Saccharomyces cerevisiae S288C: one gene and its partners. The gene in region 3 interacts genetically with the main gene of each other region. Each region holds a gene or a part of one and is shown on either strand. Other genes may lie near its edges. The genes, in order: CNM1, NTF2 and SKA1.

Region 1 (3,692 bases), on a different chromosome or scaffold from region 3:
AATCCCTTGAGTTTTGTTGTATTCCATGTTCCTCTAATCTAATGATGAGTGCAGATTAAAATTCGGTTAGTTAATTGGCTTTGGGGAACTTACTTCATAATATATCATTACATACCTTCATATGTAGACATTTTTTTGATTGTGATTATGTTTGATGAATATATCTTTCTATTATTTCTTTAGTAGTTTAGGAGTGGCAAAACTGGTATTATAACGAACTGAGCGCTCCTCGGTGCAAACAAAAGCCGCCCACAACAATTTTGACCAACTTAGGCAAAATGAAGCCATTACTAGAAAACGAAGAGTATATATCATCACAGTAATTCGGGTAGGAGAGTTGGTCACCAAAATGGGACTCATATGGAAGGCAAAAATTTCGAGCTTATTCATCATGGTTGTACCCGTAAAGTTTTTGTTTCCGATATATAGAGTACAGATGTTTTCTAGTTAACAGTTGGCATATCTTACATTTTCCGGATTATGTATCAAATAAACTTTATCTATGAATAGTTAGAGTACCACAGTAGAATCGAAGTTGCGCCTTTATCATTAACTAACAATTTTTTTGTGGGAACCGAACTATTATGTCTCCTGGAACAAATCTTTTGACTTTTAACCCGGAGCAAATTGCGAATCCTTGTCAAATTTTGAACTTCATCATAGCGGATAAGATCCTTATGAATCACTTCATCTAATCGCTCTCGTTTTTCTCGGTATGCTCCAGTTATTTCAATTGGGATGTTGTTATCAAAGAAAACTGGTTTTTCCATGAACATAGTCAGGAAAAGTTCGTCACCAAATTGGCTTTTTATAATCAAAAACGATTTACAGATATCACGAATTTCTCTACTCACAGATTTAGTATTATCTCGAGCAGTGAAGCTTCTCATAATTGAAATATTTCCAGGCGCGTATTGTCTGCCATAATGGGAGAGAGATACATCGCATCCCATAGGAACTTTAACCATTGTTTCGTTAATACTTTTTTCAATACCTTTAAACGGCGTTTCATTCGCGCTATCAAGTAATGTATTATTTACCACTGCTTTAAACTCGGGATTCGAGCCAGGTGATCGCGTTAAGACCTCTGTTGTATAATCTTTAGTTAATAAGTCGTACTCATCAAAATTGCCATAGGTGAAATTTTCATCGCTTTGGTTCAAAGTTACCATATTTTGCCTACCAATGCTGAGAACTGACTCCTTTGAATGTAAAACTGTGGATTCCTCATAATTTCTCTCTTCGGTAACGTCACTTCGATTATTGAGGCAGTCTTCATTAAAGTTTATTACAATGGATATGGTATCACCAGTCTTGAACCTACAATCATCTATTTTAGGTGAGCTCGTAGGCATTATTGGAAAAGTGTTCTTTCTCTTAATAGAAGAGATTAAATACCCGATAATCACACCCAAAATTATTGTGGATGCCCAGATATCTTCTTGGTCATTGTTTTTTTTCGCTTCAATCTGTAATCTCTCTGCAAAATTTCGGGAGCCAATAGTGACAACATCGTCAATAATAAGTTTGATGGAATCGGAAAAAGATCTTAAAAATGTAAATGAGTATTTCCAAATAATGGCCAAAATGCTCTTTATATTGGAAAATAAAATAGTTGTTTCGCTCTTCGTAGTATTTAACATTTCCGTTCTTATCATTGTAAAGTCTGAGCCATATTCATATGGAAAAGTGCTTTTTAAACCTAGTTCCTCCATATTTTAGTTTTTTATCGATATTGGAAAAAAAAGAGCTATCAGAAATCAGTCAATATATCATGTACCTATGGAACCTTATCTTTCTCAAAATAATAAATTATAGTGATACTTTTAGAATTGTGTCACTTTCTTTTTATTTGTACTTACAAAATTCGGCCGAGTTATCATCTCGGTAACCGAGAGGAAGAGCCCGAGCAGCTAAAAGCGACAAACCGTACAGATAAAATGTTCGTGCTAATCCAAACTGCAGCATTCCGTATAAATTTGTCAGATATACTGATCAACTTAGATAAAGTTCCCCACTCAACCTGCTTTTGTTTATTACTTGCAAGGTAGATGGATGGTCGAAATTGATCAAACAGTTCGTTTCTTCAACCCATGATTTTTCTTACGTTTCATCTATATTGTTAACTTGTTAGCGCGAGGTTTCGATTTCTTTGATCTGTCCTTATGAACTTTTTTTGATGTCTTTTTCTTGTCATTCTTTGCGTTATCTGTGCTTTTTGTAGGAAAAGAAAGCCCTAGCTCCAACTGAATAAGCTTATTCAAACTTAAACTAAGTTTTATATTTTCTGCAGTGTTGGTTCCGAATGACGCAGCTGAAAAGCCAGACGACCACGGAATGATAAAGATTCTAAAACGGTCAATAAGTAAAACTCCTCTCTTTAGGCCCTTTGGTGTGACAAGTGTCTCACTTATTTTACTGACAAACCGCTCCCCCAATTCACTAGATTGAAATCTTAGGCCACCACACTTCGCCTTGTGGTTGACTATTAATGACAATGAATTTCCATCCTTCCATTTCTTTATACCCAATAATTGCGAAACTGTATCAGTTATTTTCCATTCAGGGATCGAGGCATCAATATTATACAGAAAAAATGATTTGGTGGAGGGGTTTTTTAAAAACGATTCATTCAAGGGTAGTTTCTTCAAAATATGAGAAATGTCCACGGACGCGTACTTTTCCAAGTTTTTGACCTCATTTGCACCTTTTTCATTTTTATACAATGCAGTTGTGTTTTTTATTAACGGAGTACTTGGGCCATCTGATGTTGCTCGCAGAAGTATATTTTTCAATTTATCAACGATATTATCTGCTTCTGACGGATCACTCGTAATCTGAGCTCCTCCTAATTTCACGTTTTTTAGTGACAGAAACCTTTTCATCATGTCGTTTTTTGCTTCCTCCGTCATAACGTTTTCCTCGTTCACAAGGGATATTAAATGATCCCGCAGTTGTATAGGGATGTGCCATCTTGAATCAAGCATACAGCATTGACAAATGTTTCTCTGAGTGGCGCACCGTACACATATTAATGTTTTAATGATATTATTGCTTCGTTTAGACGTCTTAAAATGGTATAAGGTGAACGGTAAGGTACAAATCTTACATTCAGAGCCTTGTGGAATTTTAGTCATTCGTATATTAGCCTCATCACCTAAGCACTGCTCACATATATTGGGCGGTGGCTCATTAATTTCATCATTCATTATATTAAGGGTGCAATAACTCTTTTCCGTTAGCTACCTTCTATTCACCTGCTCAAAAGCCCTTCCATCATCATTACCACTTCTATCAATAAAATTTGCCATAGCATTTCTTTTTTTTTTTTTTAGTCCTTATTGCCTAAACGTCATCACAGGAGAGGGTAATCCCGGAATGAATAAGGTTTGAAACTTCACGTCCCTCCGGGTTGTGACTTAAAAAAATTACGAAAGAGAACCGACTATCGTTCCTGCTATTGTTCTTGGTGAGTATTACTAACCCGCTTAGTTTTATTACTATTTATCAGTCTTTTATTTGTACGTTATTTGAATATTTAAATGTTTTTGGCTGAGCTCACTCACATCAACTGCTAGCCTCCCTCCTCTTCCAGTTTCTTTTCTTCTTGTTTGCATGAGTTCGATAATGCTGATTACAGTTATCATGTCTACTAAACCTCTGTCCACAGCCCTCATGCGGACAGATATGAT
Region 2 (2,806 bases), on a different chromosome or scaffold from region 3:
TGCCGTGAACTATATAGACTCTGTCCCTCCCAACTCAATACTCGTCCTCGCACTGGAGCCCCATTTGCAAAGTCAGTTCCACCCATTTATTAAAATTACGCAAGCGATGTACGGGGGGCTGATGAGTACCAGAGCACAATATTTGAAATCGAATGGGACAGTAGTCTTTGGACGCATAAGAGATGTGGATGAACACCGGACTTTAAACCATCCCGTTTTTGCTTACGGTGTTGGATCTTGCGCTCCAAAGGCTGTCGTTAAAGCCGTAGGCACTAACGTACAGTTGAAAATCTTAACGAGTGATGGCGTAACCCAAACAATATGTCCTGGTGATTATATTGCAGGTGACAATAATGGAATAGTACGCATTCCTGTTCAAGAGACTGACATTTCAAAATTAGTTACCTATATCGAAAAGTCAATTGAAGTGGATTTACTTGTCTCTGAAGATATTAAGAATGGTATTCCCGCCAAACAAGCTCAAAATGATCGAAGATCAGTATTAAAGAAATACATTTAAAAACGCTATCTTCATACATATATATATATATATATCTTCTTTATCGCTATCGCCTTATACATCGTTAGCTAAGCATCTTCAATTATGCTAAACAATATTCGAAAATGAAAATACATGTTTCTGTGGTGACTTAAAAAATCCTTAAGCAGAGTAATTCAAACGGAAGATATCGTTAAACACGTAGTAAGAGTTTCCATCAGGAATCAAATGGAACACTTGAGAGAAACGCTGTGGATTTTGTTCTTCGTCAATCAACAGATCACCAGTGATCATGACTAAGACATCGCCATTTGGGGAAGCAGGTTGCGCATCCAAAGTAGTGATACGATGTTGGACCTTTTGAAATGGCAAAGATACTAATTTCTCAACAATGTCCTTTGCACCTTGCAATTGACTAGTCTCGAATGTTAGCATAGATTCATTTCTGTACAAGTTACCCAATTGGCTTCTATCGGTATCAAATTGATTATAGTAAAACTGGGTGAAGTTTTGGGCCAAAGTGTTAAAGTCGAGAGACATTATAAAGATAATAGTATTAAAACCTGGGTTCCTTAGGGGGTATTGTACACTAAAAACTAAAAAGTACTTACTTATCAGCCTAAGTCTCACCTTGCCAAGTCAGAAAATTTTTCGTTGCTTTTTGAGAACCACGCTTGTGGGACTATGTCACCCGGTATTAATGGGCAAATACTAACTTGGTGAACACTTATAGCAATAACAGTATCATAGCTTATGAAGAAAAAGCGGTCATAAAGACTGAGTCGGTGCCAGATATCTCCAGCTAGGTAACAAGGCTACGCAATTTATTCTATATTATGAGGTCCTCGAAGTCTCCTTTTAAAAGGAAGTCTCACAGTCGTGAGACATCACACGATGAAAACACATCGTTTTTCCACAAGAGAACAATATCCGGTAGCAGTGCTCACCATTCTAGAAACGTCAGTCAAGGTGCAGTACCCTCTTCCGCACCACCTGTTTCTGGTGGAAATTATTCGCATAAGAGAAACGTGTCGAGAGCTTCAAATTCCTCTCAAACTTCGAATTTTTTAGCCGAACAATATGAAAGGGATAGGAAAGCCATAATTAATTGCTGCTTTTCCAGACCCGACCATAAGACAGGTGAACCGCCGAATAATTATATTACACATGTCCGGATTATAGAAGATTCAAAATTCCCTAGTTCAAGACCTCCTCCAGATTCAAAATTGGAGAACAAAAAGAAAAGACTCCTTATTTTGAGTGCCAAGCCCAACAATGCCAAGCTAATACAAATTCATAAAGCAAGAGAAAACTCAGACGGCTCTTTTCAAATTGGTAGAACTTGGCAGTTGACCGAACTAGTAAGAGTAGAGAAGGACCTGGAGATATCTGAAGGCTTCATTCTTACCATGAGTAAAAAATACTACTGGGAAACGAATTCTGCGAAGGAAAGAACTGTTTTCATTAAATCTCTAATTACTCTATACATTCAAACATTCGAAGGTCATGTCCCTGAATTGGTCAATTGGGATTTATCCCTTTTTTATCTTGACGAGAGGAGTTATCAAAGAGCAGTCATCACAAATCGCCCCGGTTCCGTATCTCCAATAAAGTCACCTACAAGTAATTTCACGACAAACACTACCCAATCGGTGGGCTCTGTCCCCTTTTCAGCACCTACTGAGAGGACAAGAAGGTCTGAAACAGAAAGCGTTAATCCAGTGTCAACGCCTGCAAGCGTGGAATATCATGCAGGAATGAAATCTCTAAATAAGGCCCCCTATTCTTCCAATTCGACATTGAATGAAGTGAATAAAAGATACGAGTTAGAGCAACAACAGCAACAAGAAGAGGCTGAACTGAGACGATTAGAAGAGCAAAAAAGACTTCAGTTACAAAAGGAAAATGAGATGAAAAGATTAGAAGAGGAAAGAAGAATAAAGCAGGAGGAGAGGAAAAGGCAAATGGAATTGGAACACCAACGACAACTCGAAGAAGAGGAACGAAAACGTCAAATGGAACTGGAGGCTAAAAAGCAAATGGAGTTGAAACGTCAACGGCAATTCGAAGAAGAGCAACGCCTAAAAAAAGAGAGAGAACTATTGGAAATACAGAGAAAACAAAGAGAACAAGAAACAGCTGAGAGATTAAAAAAAGAAGAGCAAGAAGCGCTTGCTAAAAAGGAGGAGGAAGAAAAAAGTAAAAGAAACAAAGTAGACAATGAAAGTTATACTCAAGAAATAAATGGTAAGGTTGATAACCTTTTGGAGGACTTAAACGCAGTTTTGGCGGAAGAAACAGAAACCA
Region 3 (3,495 bases):
TGATGGCTGTTCAGGTGCATATAGGTGATACTGTAGAAGACTGTGAGGAGGCGGATAAATACGTGGGTACTTAAGATTACTACTCTCTATGGGTGGCGGTTGCATAGGAGGTGGCACATTATTAGCCATACTCATATTGTTACTATTATCATCAGTGGCGTTTATATTTATGCCACCAGAATTTGCAATGGAGGGAAATGGAAAAGAATGTGCATTTGCATTAGTGTGAATTGAGGAGGTTGAAGACGGAGTGAAAATGGGGGCATTGAAGGGGTCGTAATTGGAACTCGAAGCGGTAGTTGGTATTGATATGCTTATATTACTATTATTGTTATTGTTATTCACTAACGAGCTATTAACTATCGGATTAATCATCGGATTAACTGTAGAAGCAGTAGCAGAGGTAGCTGCCATGGCGATATTGCCAGTAGCATTTGTAGCAGCGGAGGTGGTATTCGTCACAGTGGTTAAGGAGTCACTACCGACTGTCATCGGAGTGAAACTTGCGGATACTTTAGCATTGAACTTAGGAACTGATGTCATGGTCGGAGTTGTAGCCTCACCCACATCTATTGGAGGAGGAACGTCATTTATGGTAGTAGCGGTAGTGTTATCGCTGTGTTTGAAAGGGCAACCTTCTTTCTCCTTTTTGCAGTAGCCATAAATAGTGATATTTCTGCACGGAATATCCTTCGCCCAATCAGGATTGATTTTGTCCATGGCGTAAGATACGTCTGACTAGTCTTTTAGGCTTACCTATCATCGAAACAGTGCTCCCGCCATTGTTATTATTGCTCTTTTAATTCATAAACCAAATAATTTAGCAGTTTATTTTAAGGTTACCCTGTAAAGGTCTGATATGTAGGGGAGGGCATATAATCATTTTAATATATATGTATATATTCTTACATATATATATAATATCGCCGTAACTTATAGCGTAAACTATATAAAATACGTCTTAGTCTATAAGCTATCACGGATAGCGTCTTGGACGTCTTTGTACACATCTTCGACGGATCTGTCGCAACGAACACGGACGACTTTCGATTTGGTTTCAAAGTACTCGATGACGGGCATACTAGTCTCCTTGAAAGTGTTAAATCTCTTCTTAATGGACTCAATGTTGTCATCGCTTCTACCACTGGTCTTGCCACGCTCCAATAGTCTCTCTAACATGATATCTTCAGGGCAGTCAAAGAACAGGATGAATTTGCTTTCAACGATGTCTCTTTCAAAGGAAATGGCTTGATCCATCTTCCTAGGAAATCCGTCAATTAAGAACTTATGCTTGTTCGCCTTGACGTTATCGGAAATAGCGTTGCGTAAAAGCGCCAAAGTAATCTCTTGAGGGACAATCTGGCCCTCTTTGATGCAGTTCTTGATCAATTCCCCATATTGGGAACCTGCTCTGCCCTGCTCAGCACGTAGAAGGTCTCCGGCTGACAAATGGACAAATGAATAGTCCTTAACTAGTTTTTCACACTGAGTACCCTTGCCTGCACCGGGTCCTCCTAGAACGAAGATCACGGAAACTTGGTCAGGCGAGAAAGCTGGCTGTGATGTAGTGGCAGCTGTCATTTGTCTTATTCAAGAAATTCAACTGGTTCGTTCTTTTGATAGTTTACCGAAATAACTGATGTCACGAGTGCTAAAGTTCCTACGAGTACCAACAATTTGCCTTTGTGTTTACCCTTGCTTTGACTTTTGTTAGCGCGTGGTACGTTTACGTTGGTCTTCGAAGGTGCTGTATTGTGGAAAGTTGGTTTTTTCGAAGAATAAAATCTCAGTATAAACCTGTAGCGTGGATTCATAATATAACTAAGCTAACATAAAAACGGGAGAGGGTGTGTGCGACTAAAGGCAAAGACAGGAATGCATCGCTTTAAAAGATCACCATAACTACTTAAAAGTTTCGTTAACGTGGTGAAAAAGAAAAGAAAAAGAAAAGTGAAAAAAATAAACCTAGGGTTGAAAATATAATCAGTTAGGTGTCATGATATTGATACATTTATTTCTATAGGTCTGAGAGTACTAACTTAGGGTATATGAGGGGTGTTAAGTTGGGATGATGACGCATTAATTAAGAGTTCATTATATGAGGATATTGTATACAATGCAAGAATAGCGCCCCAATCCCGGCCAGGTATAACGTGCAAGCATGAATAAAGAAGAATTATTGGGTTTTCTACTAGATGACAGTATTGATAGCCAAAAAAGATGCGTCACGGATCAGCAGGCCTACTCTAATTGGTTAAAGAATGATAATGATGAACGTACGGCCCATGAGGAAAGCTCTTCACAAAGTACGATAGCCGCATTGAATAAGAAGAAGCAGACAGAAGCTGCTCAAGAAGATATAGAAGAACTGTTAAACGGCTTAGAAGGCATTATTGGAGGAGCCGACCCCCGTAATCTCAAGAGTAAGTCAAAGAGGAAAACCAAAAAGGGCGGATCGAAACCAAGGGAAGAAAACGTGAATACGGAGAAACATATTGTAATGCTCGAGGTAGAAGATTTTAGTGATATGAGCACCCACGAAGATGTCAACGGAGCAAGTCCGTCGCCAAATCTGGACCGGTCGAAGAAGAATGAGAAGCGAAGGAAAAACGCCAAGGAGCTGTCATACGATGAACTAAAAGACAAACTAGAAGTTACCACTCGCAAATCACGTCTTGAGTGCAAAGACTTGAAAAAGAAAGTTCATGGGCTCGAAAGAAGGAACCTTGAACTTGAACAGCGTTTAGAAGAGCTGAAGATTGAGAACCAGACTTTGATAGAGATTAACAATAAACTGTTGAAAAACACTAATGAGGATGAGATTAACAAGAGCCAGAGGAACAAGGAGAAGGACCGAAAGCGGAGGGAAAGAAGAACGGCAAGGAGAAAAGATGAAAGAAAGCAGGAAAAAAAGCAGGAAAAAAAGCAGGATAATAAAACATCTCAATCTTTTCCTTCCTCAACTGACATGAATGGACAGCCTATAGAATTTTGAATGCATTCTAATGACATAACTATTTGACGACGTGAATTAGAAACACATACTTTTACGTGTGGCTGCCTCTAAGAATTAAACTTCTTTTCTTTTTATTCTTATTTTCTTTAATGAATATATACGCTATACTTGTACTAAGTCGTGTCTTTATTCCTCGCCCGCCTTCGTACTTTATTCCAGTTCCATATCTGCGTCAAAATCATCGTCGGCATTATTACTTCCAGTTTTGCTGTCATGACCTCCCTTTCTTAGAGCTTTGTTATTCTGATCAAAGATCTCCTTTTGTGTTCTCAACCTTTTAGCCATGTTGACAGGGTCATAAGTCAATGAAGATCTTTTTTTATTGAGCGAAGCCTTGTCCTTACTTGCCTGACTCATTAAATTCGACTTGTCAATAAGTGGGTGGCTGGCATCCAATGATAACGTCACGTTTAGCTCTAGGGCATTTTTCAAAAGCGCTGTTGCAGATGAATTATTAGGCTTTAGGTACAATGATTTGT

What was found.
Region 1: of SKA1 (region 3) and CNM1, changing one suppresses a phenotype caused by changing the other (phenotypic suppression), as found in Saccharomyces cerevisiae (one large-scale study listed by BioGRID).
Region 2: mutations in SKA1 (region 3) and NTF2 together harm fitness more than expected from each alone (negative genetic interaction), as found in Saccharomyces cerevisiae (one large-scale study listed by BioGRID).

The regions. Positions count from the first base shown.
Region 1 is NC_001134.8:366,470-370,161, forward strand, and holds CNM1 (Cnm1p), read right to left. Parts: upstream 1,716-3,692; coding exon 501-1,715; downstream 1-500. Other genes in the region: YBR062C (uncharacterized protein), read right to left, coding at 1-33, 116-131; Pre-mRNA-splicing factor ECM2, read right to left, coding at 2,115-3,209; NRG2 (Nrg2p), read right to left, coding at 3,568-3,692.
Region 2 is NC_001137.3:170,348-173,153, reverse strand, and holds NTF2 (Ran GTPase-binding protein NTF2), read right to left. Parts: upstream 1,040-2,806; coding exon 662-1,039; downstream 1-661. Other genes in the region: YER010C (bifunctional 4-hydroxy-4-methyl-2-oxoglutarate aldolase/oxaloacetate decarboxylase), read left to right, coding at 1-520; GTP-Rho binding exocyst subunit SEC3, read left to right, coding at 1,336-2,806. UniProt on the Saccharomyces cerevisiae protein: Facilitates protein transport into the nucleus. Interacts with various nucleoporins and with Ran-GDP. Could be part of a multicomponent system of cytosolic factors that assemble at the pore complex during nuclear import.
Region 3 is NC_001143.9:391,560-395,054, forward strand, and holds SKA1 (Ska1p), read left to right. Parts: upstream 1-2,161; coding exon 2,162-2,995; downstream 2,996-3,495. Other genes in the region: PAN-complex poly(A)-binding subunit PAN3, read right to left, coding at 1-720; URA6 (bifunctional uridylate/adenylate kinase), read right to left, coding at 967-1,581; MIN9 (Min9p), read right to left, coding at 1,587-1,814; anaphase promoting complex subunit CDC16, read right to left, coding at 3,167-3,495.